Linked DNA regions of Drosophila melanogaster. The protein of the gene in region 2 interacts with the protein of the main gene of each other region in a pairwise test. Each region holds a gene or a part of one and is shown on either strand. Other genes may lie near its edges.

The links.
Region 1: the proteins of CG15109 (region 2) and tko interact in a two-hybrid assay, tested with the Drosophila melanogaster proteins (one large-scale study listed by BioGRID).
Region 3: the proteins of CG15109 (region 2) and CG4115 interact in a two-hybrid assay, tested with the Drosophila melanogaster proteins (one large-scale study listed by BioGRID).

What each region holds. Positions count from the first base shown.
Region 1 is NC_004354.4:2,441,347-2,446,022, forward strand, and holds tko (technical knockout), read right to left. Parts: upstream 2,631-4,676; 5' UTR 2,440-2,630; coding exon of another isoform or gene 2,388-2,439; intron 2,320-2,387; 5' UTR 1,481-2,319; coding exon 1,016-1,480; 3' UTR 967-1,015; downstream 1-966. Other genes in the region: boi (brother of ihog), read right to left, coding at 3,705-4,247, 4,515-4,676.
Region 2 is NT_033778.4:19,057,394-19,062,170, reverse strand, and holds CG15109 (uncharacterized protein), read right to left. Parts: upstream 2,751-4,777; 5' UTR 2,685-2,750; intron 2,576-2,684; 5' UTR 2,553-2,575; coding exon 2,528-2,552; exon of another isoform or gene 2,437-2,527; coding exon 1,292-2,436; 3' UTR 1,106-1,291; downstream 1-1,105.
Region 3 is NT_033777.3:12,357,595-12,364,221, forward strand, and holds CG4115 (uncharacterized protein), read left to right. Parts: upstream 1-2,413; 5' UTR 2,414-2,535; coding exon 2,536-2,681; intron 2,682-2,742; coding exon 2,743-2,896; intron 2,897-4,968; coding exon 4,969-5,331; 3' UTR 5,332-5,661; downstream 5,662-6,627. Other genes in the region: Tim17a1, read right to left, coding at 6,323-6,627.

The DNA of each region.
Region 1 (4,676 bases), on a different chromosome or scaffold from region 2:
CATTCGTTCGGGACTAACGGTACACCCATGGTCCTGCATTCTGGCCCTCTGTTGACACAATGTCTGGCGGACAGAGGAAACGGCATTGCTGCGGTCACTGAAATGTCATCCATCCGAGGATGTGGACAAAAAAGACATCTACACGGCGACAGCTTCGACGTCGGCTAACTTAAAAAGGATCCTTCAATGTATTTGCCTAACGGTCTCTGCGACAGTCCTTTCTGCGGATGGGTTAACGGTGAGAACTGCGCAGGACACTACCGAAACGACTTTGATTCGGACCGACAATTCGGGTTGAGGATCCAACAACAACTATGAACTGTGTCTGTAATAAAAGTTTGATATTATATAGCTTGCAATCAGAGATATTTACATTTTGTGCCCATATGCGTTTCATCTTCAGCGAATAAGCAATCGAAAAAAACCAAACAAACCAAGCTCGTGATTTGCAATCGCACTTGTGATCAGAACTGATCAATACGTATTTAAGTCCCAGTTCTTTAAAGAAGATACTTCCCCTTGTGCAAGAACTCAATTTTCTTAGCTAATTTTCGGCAGTCACCCAGCAGGATTCCCAAAAAGGACCAACTACTACATCGATTTTCCATTGAACTTCGTAGCTGTGAAGAGTGGGCGTATTGGAGTGCCGCCCATTTCAGCTAACGATTATTTGGCAGAAAATTTGCAATTCTGTTAAAAAGCAAACAGGATTCATGCAAAAGGATTTGCCAGCTAAAGCGTAAAATGCCGTTTAAGACCATTTTCCCCTGAGAGACCCGGCTATTCTTAGGTAAAGATGATGCGACAGCCTATTGACTTAAGATTACGAGAATGCAGCCAACCGAAAGGAGATCCTGACTGAGCCCGTTCACTTGTCACTACTCACTCACTTACCTCTTAAGCCGGCTGAGCTGCATAATTTTCCATAAAAAACAAACAATAATAAGAACGACGCATCCGTCTGTTGATTGTGAAGCAATGCATTTGAACAACGTGATTAGGAAGTGGTTATTAACTATTGGCTCTTCTTGACGACGTGCGCCAAGTCGTAGACTCCGCGCACAGCCTTCAGCTTAACGCCGGGCACGTCCTGCAGACGCCCCACGCGGCACAGTACAATGTTGTGCTCTTGCAGGTTGTGCCCGATGCCGGGGATGTAGGCCACCATCTCCTTGCCGGTGGAGAGGCGCACCAGCACGCACTTTCGATTGGCCGAGTTCGGCTTCTTGGGCTTCTTTATCAGCGTCTTCAGGACAACGCCCTTGGCGAAGGGCTTTCCATCCAGCGGCTGGCGCGGCGGACGCGTCTTTATGTGCGGTCCGCTGCGGTGCATCTGCTGCAGCGATGCCATTCCACGGACGGCGGTCTCATAGCTGCACTGGATGGCTGGCAAAGAAGTGAAAGAGTTAGATATGTCGCTTAAAGAAAACCAGTACAACAAAATTAACTGCTCCAAGTTTGAGATTGCAATCATGATCATTTTTAGAGGTAACACTCCTAGTTGATTATGAGAAAGTGGCTAGACTATAAACACACAAGGGTTCGGCCATCGATCGACTCGATTGAGAATGCAATGATGGGAGCGAAAGAGATCGCTCGAAATCAATAAAGCACGACTGTACCGGCTTCGAAATGCGGACAAAAGGGTCACTTCCACGGACAGTTGGTCAGTGATTGACAATGCCCGCTGGTTCTGTGCTGGCTCCTTTGTCATACGGCTAATCTCTGTGGAAATCGAGAATTGTGGAACGGAGTTGGCGGCTGGCGACAATAATTGCGGCCAAATGACGCGCAAGCATGGAAGTACTCGCTCCGAATCCTGTCAAGCCTTTTTGGCCAGAAACAAAGCGACGTAGCAGCGTTTTCAATTATAAATATGCCAAATGCCACACACAACACAAGCGGCAGGTAATAATTTCCATATGCAGGATTGCCGGACAAACAAATCCGGCACCTATTGTCTCCTAAACTGCGACCTTTTTTTTGCGGTTGAACATTTCCATTGTTTCCGCGCTTTTCCTTCTTTTTCGGGGTGACAGGTTTTCAATTATTTTTCCAATCTAAAGCGGGGGAGCTGCGGAATGTGCATGTTGATGTGCATGTGAAACTGGCAATGAAAATATTCGCAGGCGAAAAGTGCGGCCGCCACGCGCGGCCAACTCAAAAAGAGTTGGTAAAACCTGGGGGAAATGCACGAAAGTCGGGGGGAAAACAAACACTTATGCGCTCCCGGTTTATTTGGTTTTCGCTTCGCAGCGGAAGGGTGGCTAAATGCGCCAAGTCACGGACTCCTGAGGGCCAGTTCCTGCTTAGGAGCAGCTAATGGCCACCAAATCAATTAAAATATTCGATTTTTAAGGTATTTAACTTGGTTTAGTTAAGCTTACCCTGCGAAGCCAACTGTTTCGTAATGCCAAAGGATTGCCGCAGAAAATTCATGCTCTTGGAGTTTTGTTCAGTAGTTTTTTGTTCAGTTTGTAGTACCAGCCGTCGCTCGGATTGGTGGCGCTTGCTCGGAAGCTATTTAGTCGGCCTTTTGTGTTATAAAAGCGCTAAAATATTTAATAATCTAATTCCAATTCAATTCTAATGTGACAATCAGCTGTTGCTGTCCTAGAGCTGGCACAGGTGTCGATAGTCACGCATGGCAGTCACGTATGGTAGGTGCACTCGCTAAAACATGGTGGGTGCATCCGCCAGTGAGAGTTGCCAGATGAAGGCGGGATTTTTAAAAATGGTATTTAAGAATATGAAAATCCCAGTATTTTGAATGACAGCACTTAAATTTCCCATCATTAAAACAAAAATACGTTAAAAAATATGTTTAAAGATTCACTTTTTAATTTCAGGACTCGCATATTCGTTTAAAACTGCCGCCTATGAGCTTAAATCGAGTTTAGGATGCTTCTCTCTTGGGTTTTGTGTATTAGTCACATCTAGAAATGTATTAACTTAATGCTATATAGTTGGTTTGACTTAAACGTACATTAGGTTGCTTGTTAATTGAACTAATCAATTTGAGTTGCTGACGCCTGACGTTTACACTGCAATAAATAAATAACGCTATGCTACAGGGCTTATTCGAGATAAAATTTGGCCCCCGAAATAGTTCTATCAATAATAAAAAAAAAAACTTAACATTAGTAATTCTACTGACTATCTGGCCGGCAGCAACGAAAAAAGTCTTACATTACCAATTCCTTATACTAAAGTTTGTATATTTTCAAATTCAATATTTAACTAAAACAAAACGAAGCAGCATTAACGTTTAACGACTTAGCTGCTTAGCTGTTTTTTTCTTTTAATTAAACGTTCTGCTCGAAATACATTTTAATGAGCTCAAAATGAAAACAAAACTTGATTACTAGTGTTTTAGCACAAAGTTACTCGAGCATTTGAAACGACAGAAACTTCTGTTAATGGCAAATTCCCTAGTTCTAAGCTTAATGATTGGCCAAATTAATTGGTTTTTTGGAAAACTAAACAGTACCGGGTGCCTTAAAGCTAATATTCGAGGGTTTCGAGCTGCTCTGCCGACCTGTCCTACGATTATCTCAATAATACACATCTAGTTTCGGATCCTTAAGTCTACTTGAAACTGTCTGTTTTTGGGGAACCACTTTCGCTTGCCGCTTAGGTATATTTCTCCTCGTTGTGCTGCTCCGCCCACTAGTCCACTAGTTAGTTGCCTCCTCTGCGAGCCATCACACCTCAATACTGTTCAGACTGCCCGACGATATGTTGTCCGTGTGGCTGCCCAGGCGCGTCCTCTTGATCATCGCCCTGCTCGGCATCGGCGATCTCTGGACCCTAGGGCTCCCTGGCACGATGGGTATGCCCACCAGGCCACCCGGATGGCCGGGGTGGTGGTGCAGATGCTGGTGGTGCGGCGGCAGGTTGTTGTTGTTGTTGTTGTGGTGGCTCAGGCCAATATTGAGATTGCTGTGGCTGTTGTGCACCTGCTGGTTGCCCGAGGTGCGTCGCTGTCGCCGCAGGGATGGTATCCTGGTCGGCGTGGGTGTGCCCTCCTCCATATGAAAGCCCCCGGGCTGCTGGTGACCCCTGACACTGCGCTCCATCATCGGCGACGGCTGGTGCGTGGGTGCCTGTTGGTAATAGGCCGAGTGCGGAGGCACCGGCGGCGGCTGCTGGTGGTAGTCCAGTCGCTTGTGCATCAGAGTGGGCGTGCCAGGCGGATGGTACGGCTGTGCGTGGTGAAGGCCATTCTGATGCAGTCCAGAGTTGTTCTGTGGAACATTAGGAGACATAAATTAGCAGGATAGGGCACTAGGCGAATCGTTATTTCATGAGTGAATGAATGACAATGTTGACAAAACAATATCGGCTGGGGGTTGGCTTATCCTGATTGCGGAGGCGGAAAAGCAATAGCACATGGGAGTTGTATGCACAGACTGTCAGCAAGATGATGTTGTCAAAATTGGTATACAGTGTTTGTTTGTATCGGTTGGTATGCGCCCGTGTGCTATTGTTTTCGATCTCAATTGCAGGCTTACTTGGCCAGCGCCGTTTGCTGGTTTCTTGGGCAGCGGAGGTAGCGGCTTGCTGGGCGCCTCCAGCACCGCGTTCGGAGCATCCAGCTGCTCCTGGTCGTGTTTCTGAGGGAGATTCAGTTTAATTGCAGCGTCGCAGGCCTCCAGCGTTTCGCAGGAGGACGA
Region 2 (4,777 bases):
GCATTTACACTCCAGTTAACACCCCAGGGACATTGGCAGTGCCACCACAGAGAGAGAAATAATGTTTGCCTTACTTTTATATCTATAACAAATATAAGATATTTTTTGAGTGTACTAGAAATTATTATATAAATGTTAAATTCCTAGAAATAAGCAAGTACGTCCTTTAATTATTATATTTTTATGTCTGTTAACGTATGAAACACTATAAATATTTAATTAAATAATTAAATCTTTATACCACTCTCCAAATATAATTATTGTGCAATCTTATTCCATTCTTTCTATTTTTCCAAATGTATCTTGAAGTCGAAGGAGCTACGCAATTTTACGAATGCTGCGTTGCACTTTTCCGCTTGGCACATGTAGATGTACTGCTGGCATCTAGTGCAGTTTATATAGATTATATACGTGGATTTGTGAAGCAAATTTGTATTTATGCTGATGGCCAGGCACCCATGACACTCGCTATTTCAATGGCTTGCCTTTCCCTGGTGTTCCCAGTCCTGAAGCCTGAATTCTGATTCTCGATTCCTGACTCCCGGCACATTATGTGCCCCATTTAATGTCTATGTATGTGCAGCCAGTACACTTGCACATACTATGGCACACACTTACACGCCCAGTGAACGTCAAGTGGCAATTTACATTAGTTTTATTGTATACGAAATTAGCAGCATTTAGCAGTGGCAGCCGGCAAAACTTTTGCCTTTCGGCTCCGTTCGCTATGTCCCACCCCTACACCCATACACACACACACATGTATTGCTATAAATGGAGGATATATTCTCATCCGCAGTCAAGGGTTTGTATGTTAGATTTGTTTGCTCGTTTGGCTGCACTGTCGCACTCGGCATATCAATTTTCCCGCTCATCCACCTCTCCCCTCAGGACATTTCAAGGTAGGAAATCGATTTTGTTAATGAAAACGAAGGAGAACTTCAAGGAGAAGGCCACCCAGGGGATCGGGTGTCGATTGGAGCGTAAGTTTGATATTTGTTACGGGCGGAACAATGGCCATTCTGCTCGATGATGGCATTCCCGAAGGATTATATTGCAACTTTCGAGCTTGATTTTTTATATTCTTCCGCTGAACATAGTTATTATGATGTGTATTTAGTTTTTATTGTCTGTTTTTTGTATACAAAGTAAAAATGGTCTCGCCACTCCTTACATATGCAAGAAATATAAACATCTTCCAGTTGAAGCAACAAAAAATAAAAAAAAGAATGCGGAAAAACAAGTAACCTAAAATTTTTAAGAAACATTGTGACAGCTGCCCGTTTCAGGTTCACACTAGATGGCACTCGTTCACCAAAACGACATCATCTTCGACCACGTCGCCATTACGATTGGCATGGTGCTCATGGTGAATGGGACAGCTGACGATGAGCTCCTCCTTGGGTTCCATCTTCTGTGCCTCCTTCTTGGCCTTCTTCGTTAGTGCCTTATCCTTGATGCCCTTCTTTTTTTCCATCTCCAGCTCCAATTCTAGGTGATCGCCCAGCAGGTGATCGATGACATCGGGATTGTTGCGCAAAGCCAGATCCATGGCGCCATCAAGGAATTGATAGAGGGGTGAACTAACGTGACGCTGTGGCTCCTTTGGTGGTTCCAGCAAGAGATTTCCCTCGAAATTGGGCTGCAACAGCTGTTGCAGCATGTAGAGCATCGGTGGCACAGCCGGCGAGGATTTATGCTTGCGATGGTGCTTCAGTGGTGCTGCATTATGAAGTCCGCGTGGAGTGTTCTCGGCTGCATTCAGCAGTAGCACTCCGGCCAATTCCGGTGGCAGAACTTCCGGACCGTAGTTCAGCTCCTGCTGCACACTCTCAATCATCATGTTGGGCGCCAGCAGCTCGAACTCCTTTATCTCGTGCTTGCCATCTGGCGAAACCAGCTTGTTGTAGTACACGTAGGGATTGGAATTGGGATTGGGATTGGGATTAAGATTGGGATTAGGGTTGGGTGGCAATGAGGTGGCCATAGCAGCAGCTTCCACCGCTGGGCGACGCTTGTGGTGCAATTGTCGTGGCTGCAGACTGTCGTCCATCAGGCTACCCAAACGCCTCTTGGGACGGCGCAGTCCCAGCAGATCCTCCACTAGCTGAAATTTTCCGGCATCCGGAGGCGAGGATGTGGATGCCACAGCAGCAAGTGATGATGATAATGCGGTGGTGGTTGTGGAGCTAGTGGTTTTTCCACGAACTCCCATACTGCGCACCGGTCCAGCAGTAATCTTCTGCTCCGGAGATGTGGCGGCTTCAGTCATGTTAGCGGTGGTAATGGTACTATTGGCCAACACGGTGGCTTTTCCGCTCAGTGAAGCAGTATTGTCCATTGTAGTGGTTTCATTATAATCACTTGCAGTATCGCCTTGAGAACGCTTCATGCGCAGACAATCGCCGTACATCGGCCGCATCAACATGAGGACACCTTAAGCAAAACAATGGATGCGTTTGAAATACACGCAATTAATTATAAATAATTGCATGCTAGATGGTACTGAAAACTAACGTATACTTACACCCAAGGATCAGCAAGTAGTTCATCTTGTATTGCATGATAGGCAGCGCTGTGGAAGACAGTTGAGTTGAAAAAGTGAAAAGTGACCACAAATATTCTCAGAGTTGAATATTTATTGTAGATTTTTTTCCACCAGAATAGTTACAATTTGAACTTACTTTATTTGATTGGAGTGGGTTCTAGGTGTGCTCGGCACAAAGTTTGTACTGAAAATAATTCGAAATGCTTCCTGCCTCATGGCGAGGCTTTGACAGACAGCTGGGGACCTGGTAAAAGGTTACTGAGAGTACGAAAAAAAAAATCGAATTTCAATATTTTTCTGATGGGGATTTTCCACACACACTCACTTCCATTTGTGGCGACCTTTTCAAGTGCTGCAAATGGCAGCAATGGTACAAAAACAAAAAAAAAAGTAACAAAACACAACCGCGCACACCAAAAAAGTTTGTTTCGTGGGCCGCAAACAAAAGCAAACAGTGGAAAAAGTTTAGCTTATAAATTTCCAATCAATTTTTCGTGCAAAAATCAAGCGACCTCACACTCACACACAGGCACAAGCTCAAGTGTTCATACACGTAGTGTGTGCCTGCGTGTGAGTAGCTATTACTTGATTAATAAATATTAGCAGCAAAAATTGGAAAATTCTCAGCGAAGCGTAAAAGTGCAAACACCCAAACGGAAATGCGATACATTTGCGAAATGGCAGGAGCATTTTCCAAAACATCGATGCTTCTCTACGCACACAAGCACGCACACAGCACTACTCACCTACTCCATGTAACTTTTGATATAAAAGGTATATAAGAATTATCGAAGATATGAAATATAGGTTATGAATCTGCATGGATTGACTTATTGACTTAAACTATAATTTCCCATTTGTTCAAAATGTAACAACTATATCTTCTTTTGTGTTATATATCAAATGAATTTTGGTTACTTTCAAAAGGGTATTTCTTTCTCGATTCCCGTTTTTTTAGCCTAAAACTTGAACTTGTTTCTGCCGCCTTCGTCTTTAGGCATTAATAATGTAAAGTGCGTGCGTCAAATGTGAATTCCTTGCTGCCAACGCACGCGATTTCATAAACTGGCGACATTTTCAACAAACAATTCTCATCGCCGTCTTCGATGTGCTTGTGTGTGTGTGTGTGTGTGCGCCCTTCGAGGCGACTTGGCGCTCAGGTGGATTTTGGGGTGCAGGAGGCGGTAAACCAAGGGACCCCGAGGAGCAGGCACTTTTCCTTATCAGCTTAAATGTAAATGCCAAACGAGTGCACTGAAGGCGGGGAGGGGGGTCGAAAGGGGGCGTGGCTGAGCAGCAGCTGTTGCTGCATTGGGGATTTGCACATTTATACTCGCATATTGTAGCCCCACTCCTCGAAAACCCCGTTTTTCCGGTCCATCCTGCTGTCTCGTTTTCATCTTCTCGTTTTTTATCTGCCAAAGTTGATTTTTCGAGTGTATTGAATAAAAGTCGATTTTCCCCTTCTGGATTTGTGCGCGTTCGACAAGCGGCTTAAATGCGTACAGTTAATACATATCCTTTTTGCATATGTCTGCGTGTCTGGGGCTTATAAGCCAGTGTGTAAGTGGGTGTGCGTGCTCTTGCTTTGATGTGTGAGTCCGTTAAGGTCGTGGCTTATTAGGGGTCCGAAACCTTTGCCGCAGTGCATCAACGCGGCGGGATTTGCACGCAGACACTGCAAAAAGGCTCCCAAGACGATCCACTATAATTGGTAGCGAAAATCACGCATCCGCCGTGTGGGTCAAGTGGTGCTAGGGGAACTGGTCTAGCAATTGCTTTGATCTCGGGCGGAAAATCGGTGAGTGCGACTTTTATTAAATGTTTCCCTTTCGATTTGTTTCGGCGGAAAAGACTCCGGCTTTGTAAACTTTCATTAGTTGCCTCGTTAATATTCCAATTGTTGACACACAAAGGCGAAAGGTGGTGGAGGGGATGGCTGGCTTAACCTGTGTATAAAGGAATTTAATTAATAACGTCCTTCGTCCTTTTGCGTGTGCAGCGCGGCGTAAACTTAATTAAATGCGCAAGTGGCAAGTAGCAAGTAGCTGGGGCCACAGTGGCAAATGACAAGTGGAGATGCAGGACCAGCAGACGCAACTGGAGAAGCTCAGGTGCAAAGGTTGAAGGTAACACCTGGCCCGGCTAGAAGTAAGAAAAAAAAACGTTAAGGAAACCCTCCTGCCCCACATGTCAAAAGTTTTATTGGCGCAAACGCTACTTTTATGG
Region 3 (6,627 bases), on a different chromosome or scaffold from region 2:
TATTAGTGAACATATTTGCATAAATTATCGACACTCGATGAAATTGGGACGACTGCACCTGACCTCACTCTCTTTTTGTGCAAATAATTCAACAATATGTAACCTGTGCAAAAATATTTTTCAAAAACAGAAAACCGAAAACAGAAATATGTACAAGGAGAGTACAAAACTTTTGGTCCAACTGACGGCGGCACTTTCTCCTTTAATATTTACCCAACTCATCGACAAATTGGCCAGGCCCATTCCCCAGCCTCATCTCATCGGTCCCAGCCGCATAGCCCATAAGTCAGCCCCTTCTCCCTCTCCCTCTCCCGATCCCGATCCCCATTCCGATACCGTCTGGGAACTCATTGCGTAAATATGAGGGCATGCAATGCGGTAATAGGCTGGCTGCGCGTCTCTTGACAGTTGGGCCCAGTTTCCCGGTTCCTTATCACATGATTATTACCCAAAAATATTATCGCTAAATGATGATGATCATTTTGGGCTTGAGAGTGCCCACGGGAATTCATGTAACGCCGAGTAGCTCACACAAATTAAATAAATTATGCTTGCCCGAAAGACATGGCTTAAGCAAATACACGTGTTGACCATGTAAATGGGTTGCCTAATTTATTATAATTTTTATTGCTCTTTGTCGTTCAGCATTGCACGCCGGTCATTTGAAATTTGAAATTTAATATGTGGAATTTTTTCAATGCTAGCAATTGGGATTTTTCCAAACTCTGTGTACAATATATTGAAATAATTTTACTTAACACCCACCTCTGTGGCATAGTTTAATAATAATCGATACAAATATTTTGCTAAATATTATAGAAATTTCTGAGAAATGGGCGCGGCTGGCCCAGCAGCATCCAGCATAATCCGCCCAAAGTGTCCAACGAGATACATGTGTCAGGTAATGAGCGGCACCTGCCTTCGTGTAACTTTTGCCGTTTTACCGATTGCCATAAAGTGCGATTTAACAGATACCTTTGCTTTTTCAAAAACCGCCATTTTTTGGTTTCGGCTGTGTTCGGTCGACATGCTCAACTGCACGTGAGTTGAAGATGTAAAAATAAAGAAAATAACGCGCGGAGGAGACAAAACTTATCGAGGCGATCATGTTGAAATGCGTGAATTGAGCTTGGGTTTTGGGTTTTTGGGTTTTCGGGTTTGCTCGGCTTACTCTTCACTTTCAACTGGTGAAATTTTCGTACTCATCGGGGCTGACCTTGATCTGGGTCCCAAGCTGTGGAGAAAATAATGTAGATGGGCATCATTTCTTATGCTTATGCAATGGCAAGTGTGTTTGGGTATATCTTCTGGCTATTTATGGCCGGCATTATGTAACGTTTGGCAGCTCATTTAAAATTATAAGTACGATTAGTTGTTATATAGGTGCGTATTTAATGTAGCCACAGAACTTATTGATTAATAAGTGACCTTTACATTTCAATTATGTCGATTTCAATCGACATAAATTGTTGGTCAACACATCAGTTGAGATTATGCAATGAGCAAAGCGACAAAAGCACTGGCAAATACATACATTTCTGAGACGAAGCAAACAATAGCGTAAAATGCATTTATTTATGCAAAGAGACAGGAGACGCAGCACACAAAAAAAGTTCGAAATTTCCGTGCCAAAAACGATTTTGGCTCAAGTGGTGTCGTGTTTGTGAAGCTAATTAGATGGGAGTTAGCCCAATCCATTCAACGGCCATTCAAAGCGAAGTGGTGCAAAATGATGCGCAAGCCAAAGAAACGCCACCCATCGCCCACCGATCGTCCCCCCCTCCCCTTTTTTTGCACCACTTTGGCCACTTATCATTCACGGTTGCTGGTTAAACAGCCACTGAAGATTAGGCCATTCTCCCCGTGCTCCAATTTATAAATGGGTTACAGATTGCTCTTAAAATATATACATACATAGGTGCAAATTCACGAGTATCTACTTAAATCAAAAATTCTAGCAAGTCGCTAGAATTCTACTAATCTACTAATCTTAACATTTAAGTTTTTAGCTTAAAATACTTCTGGCCTAACCATTTTCCAATCTATTCAAAACATTTAAAAGGAATTTTTCAAAATGAATCAATCTCTAAATTTATTGCCTCTGTAGTACAGGGTATTCAAATTTCGACTTGCATACAATCAGCTCCGTTGATTGTTACAATGTTTCTCACACTAAAAATCCTGAAAATAAAAAGTTAAATTAAAAGAAAGTATATGGTTTTTATAAAGAAAAAAGAAGTGTTCAACAGTAGGACTTCATGGAATAAACATTTTCGAGTGTAGTACTGCCGCCAAACCAAAAAAAAAGCCCCACCACTCATTCTCTCTTTTTGGGGTACGGCGCTCTCATCGAATTGAGTGGATGGATCGATGCGACTCTCGGTTCGTATATAAGGCGGGGTTCCCCAATGCTTTTGACATTCCAGTTGATCAGTGCCAGCCGATCGGTCGGTAGAGAGAAGTGCGTCGCGAGTCCAAAAAAGAAAATCGAGCCCGCAGAAAGTGCCAGTGAATAGACTGATAAAGCAAACAAAAATGAAAGCTTTCATTATCGCCGGAGTGTGCGTGTTGAGCGTGCTGAGCCTGGGATCCGCTCAGTTCCAGAACGGACGTCTGGAGCCGCCGAATCCGCAGCTCTGTGCCCAGCGTGTCATTCACGAGAAGACTCCCGATGGCAAGGGGTGAGTCAGCAGGATATGCTCACCAAAACATAAACTATAGGGTTTGCTTCTCTCCCCGCAGTTACTTCTTCTCGTGGCGCGACCCTCAGCTGAAGGGCGTGGAGGAGGACTGGCTGACCGCCAGGAACTACTGCCGCAGGCGCTGCATGGACTCCGTTTCCCTGGAGACCAGTTTGGAGAACGAGTGGATCAAGCAGTATGTTGTGCGCGAGAATGTAAGTACAAATTTCAGGGGCTATAACGATGAAAATAAATTAAGGCAAGAAATGATAAGAGAAATCGAAAGACTTAGGAAACGAACTCAAGTATAGGTGTTGTCATGAATAGCACACAAATGCGCACACGCAAAGCTAATCTTTTATCTCAACTTTCATAAATATTTACTCCGAAAATGTTGAGTCTATAAATGGATTGTCCCAAGTCAATAAATTAAACCTTACGTAAGTCCCACTTATGATATTGGAACCATGTCCAAACTAATAAATTGATCTGAACTTCAATGCACCTGTTTGTTAAACATTTAAGCATTGATAGATCAAACAAATGACCGAAAATACCATTGAAATGTGCAACTCATTCACTATGTATATGTTTTTTTTTCCGGCGAAAGGCTATTATAAATGCAAAATCAAACACTAATAAATGGACCGCATCAATGTGGACTTTTACACCTTAAAGTCGAAAAAGCTTGCCAATAATTTATTGTACCTGCATCTATTAGATTTTGTTTCCGTTGTTTTCTCACCTGTTTTGCATGACATTATGTCACCTTTCTTAATTTGTTTGGCAAGTTAAATAACGTCAGTTTAGCCGCGTGTGAACTGTTTAGCGCGTTTTATTTGGCAGCTCAGACAAGACACAACAAAACGCTGACCTTAATTCCGAGGATGCTGGGGGGGCACACAATAAAAATAATTGCGAAATCCCTGACACTAACATCGCTCCACAAAGTTCAATGTGAAATTGCGCATAAAAACTGAACGGAAAGGCAAAATACGCATCATAAATACAGAAAAACTTTCCCAGTTGTTGCCTCTGTAATTTTGCACACGAATGGAATCGTCTGATATTATGCAACGCTCTTCGGATGAACAAGTGTCAAGTTTGGAGTTGTGGTCAGCCGGGCTCATCTCATCCCATCTCATCTGCCATCTTCCGACTCATTGCCCACATCCCATCTCCGGTTTTGCGGCATGGGAAGGCACTGGCGGTCGAATTAAAATCGAAAGTACATGTGTGCGATGGGAAAGCCTGGCCGGAAAAGCTGATCAACAAAATTACTTAGCAAAATTAGCAAGCTGCGAACACGCAACCGAATTCATTTGTTTTACATTTTGCGTATAAGATCCAAAAGGAAATTGAATGCAAACCATAGGCGATAAAAAGTCGAAGATGGAAAGTAACTCATGATCATCGAATATTAATATATTAACCACATATCAACCAACATATAAGACAACAAATCTTTTTTTAGATGTCCAATGGAAACGCAGTACTTTCCATTAAAATTTTCCGCTTCCTGCTAAGTTGCATCTCCCACCACCGACTTCTCTGCAAGACTTTTATTTAACTATTAGTAGGACAGGTGTATAAACATCACTCATTTAGGTTTCCGCAACGGGTAAAATGCATTCATTGTCTGAGTTTTAAACAATTACATTGCAATCTGGACCCCTTAAATGAAACGCTAAAACCGCCAGCGACAAAACCGAAATCAATGTCCATAAATCTATTTCAGCTTTACGCTCATTGGAGTTTTCCAAAAGGGCAGACATCCACATCGAGTCGTCTGGGTCTCTTTGTTTTTTTTTTTTTTTTTTTTTTGTGTGCTGCCCCCTTAACAAAACAATTTTTATGGCCCATCAGGTGAAAGTGACTGATGATCGCTTAACTGCGGCTGCGCAGCGGCTTTTGCTTTTGCTTCTGCTCACTTGAAATGTTGACAGTATCGGGTGCGCCAGCTCCAAAAGGGCGCGGACTCGGATTCGGAATGGGAATGGGTATGGGTATATGGGTTCGCTTTCAGCGATAAAAATGGTTGTTTGGGCGTGACAGGCCCAAAAGAGTTGCTAACTGGAATTTCTACCACTATTTTGTTCGTCGATGCCAGCCCTGCATTTTCTTGCGTAGGTGGGGGATTGATGGGGGAAATTTCTATTTCTATTTCAGTATCTGCAAGGGGCAATGAACTATTGATACTATTTCATTGATTCAGTTTCCTTGGATGGATATTTGAATTTTGTCCTGGTTTCAGTACATTAATGAGAACACTACTCTCACGTTGCAGGTGAAATACATCTGGACCAGCGGCCGCTTGTGTGACTTCAAGGGCTGTGACCGCCCCGATCTGCAGCCCACAAACATCAACGGTTGGTTCTGGACCGCCACACTGCAGAAACTGGCACCAACCACTGAGAGGAACCAGGGCGATTGGTCGCCCACCGGAGGCATTGGCCTGCCCCAGCCGGACAACCGCGAGTACAAGCAGAATGGAGCGCCGGAGAATTGTCTCGCCCTGCTGAATCAGTTCTACAACGATGGCGTAAACTGGCACGATGTGGCATGCCATCACAAGAAGAGCTTCGTCTGCGAGGAGAACGATGCTCTGCTGAAGTATGTGCGCTACACGAACCCCAATCTGCGCATCTAAGAGGATCGCGATCAGGATCAGAATCCGAATGCGAATGTGGGCTGGCGGAAGGACCAGCGACACTCTCCAAGTAAAACCAAAAATGATATTTCCCAAATCGGCAGCGGGAACGATGATCGATGTCAACTATATGTCTAATCTCCGATTGTCTTTGAATGCAAAGTTTTCTGGCCAAATTGCTGCATGATATACTTACTTATGAACCCTATCCTGGTAACCACCTTCCAATTCTCTGCGCTCTGTTCTGTCTCATCAACTAGTTTAATTCTTAATTTTGTATTAATTTATGATTTTCTTTAATTATAATAAAAGATTCGAAACGATTTTGATAAGTGGACAACGGCATTATTTATTTTTTTGTTAATTTGATATAGCATTGAACGTTTAAATTGATTTATTTAAGGATATTATGATAGAATCATAAATACCTCTTTTCCAGGGTAGAGGTTAGATATTAATAAATGCTTTTTATTAAATCTACAGATCCTAAGAACCCTCTTTCAAATTGTATGATATTGTTCAGCGCTGCAGATATGAATATAAATCTGTTCCGAGTTTTGTTTTCCATACGATGAAATAATTGTACAAATTTGAATTATAAAAACCAAAAAAAAGTTCTGTTTCAAGCTGAGCCATTTGAAGTATAACACAAGAGAAAATGCTACAGTCGAGTTTCCCGACTACCAGATATCCGTTACTCAAGTAGTGGGATTTTTCTGGGATATCTATAGATTGGGAAATACATACATACATTGTTTTATTCAACCTTTAAAAAAATAAAGCCACAAAATAAAGTGTTTCGAACTTGAAATTCTGACGCCAAGAAGTATGCTATGATTTTGATAGTAGATAAGCTTTAGTATCTTATGCGTTTTGTATATTACGATCATGAAATGAACGGTGAAAACTAGTACATGCACACAATTTTGATGAGTGATTGTTGAGAACGAAAGATTGAATGAAAATGAAAACCCTTTTTTTTTGGGCAACACTAGAACATCTGGGACAGTTTCACCAGATCCAAGAGGGAATAAAATGGCTTCTGTTTGGAATCTCGCTCGTGACTCTTAACCGGAATGTCCTGAAGTAAATTTGGTTCCCTGCTCGCCCGACATTTGTCCAGCACCCGTTCAAACTCCGCCAGTGCGAAATCTTGAGTGGATGACGCTCTCTTCGGATCAATAGTCTCCAGTATGGCCTCCCACTGGGCCCGCTGCGGCTTGATGACTATCCCTGCACCTTTGTCGGCTGCATTAATGGTGGCCACTGCTGCACCGGCTCCTTCAATCATGGCCA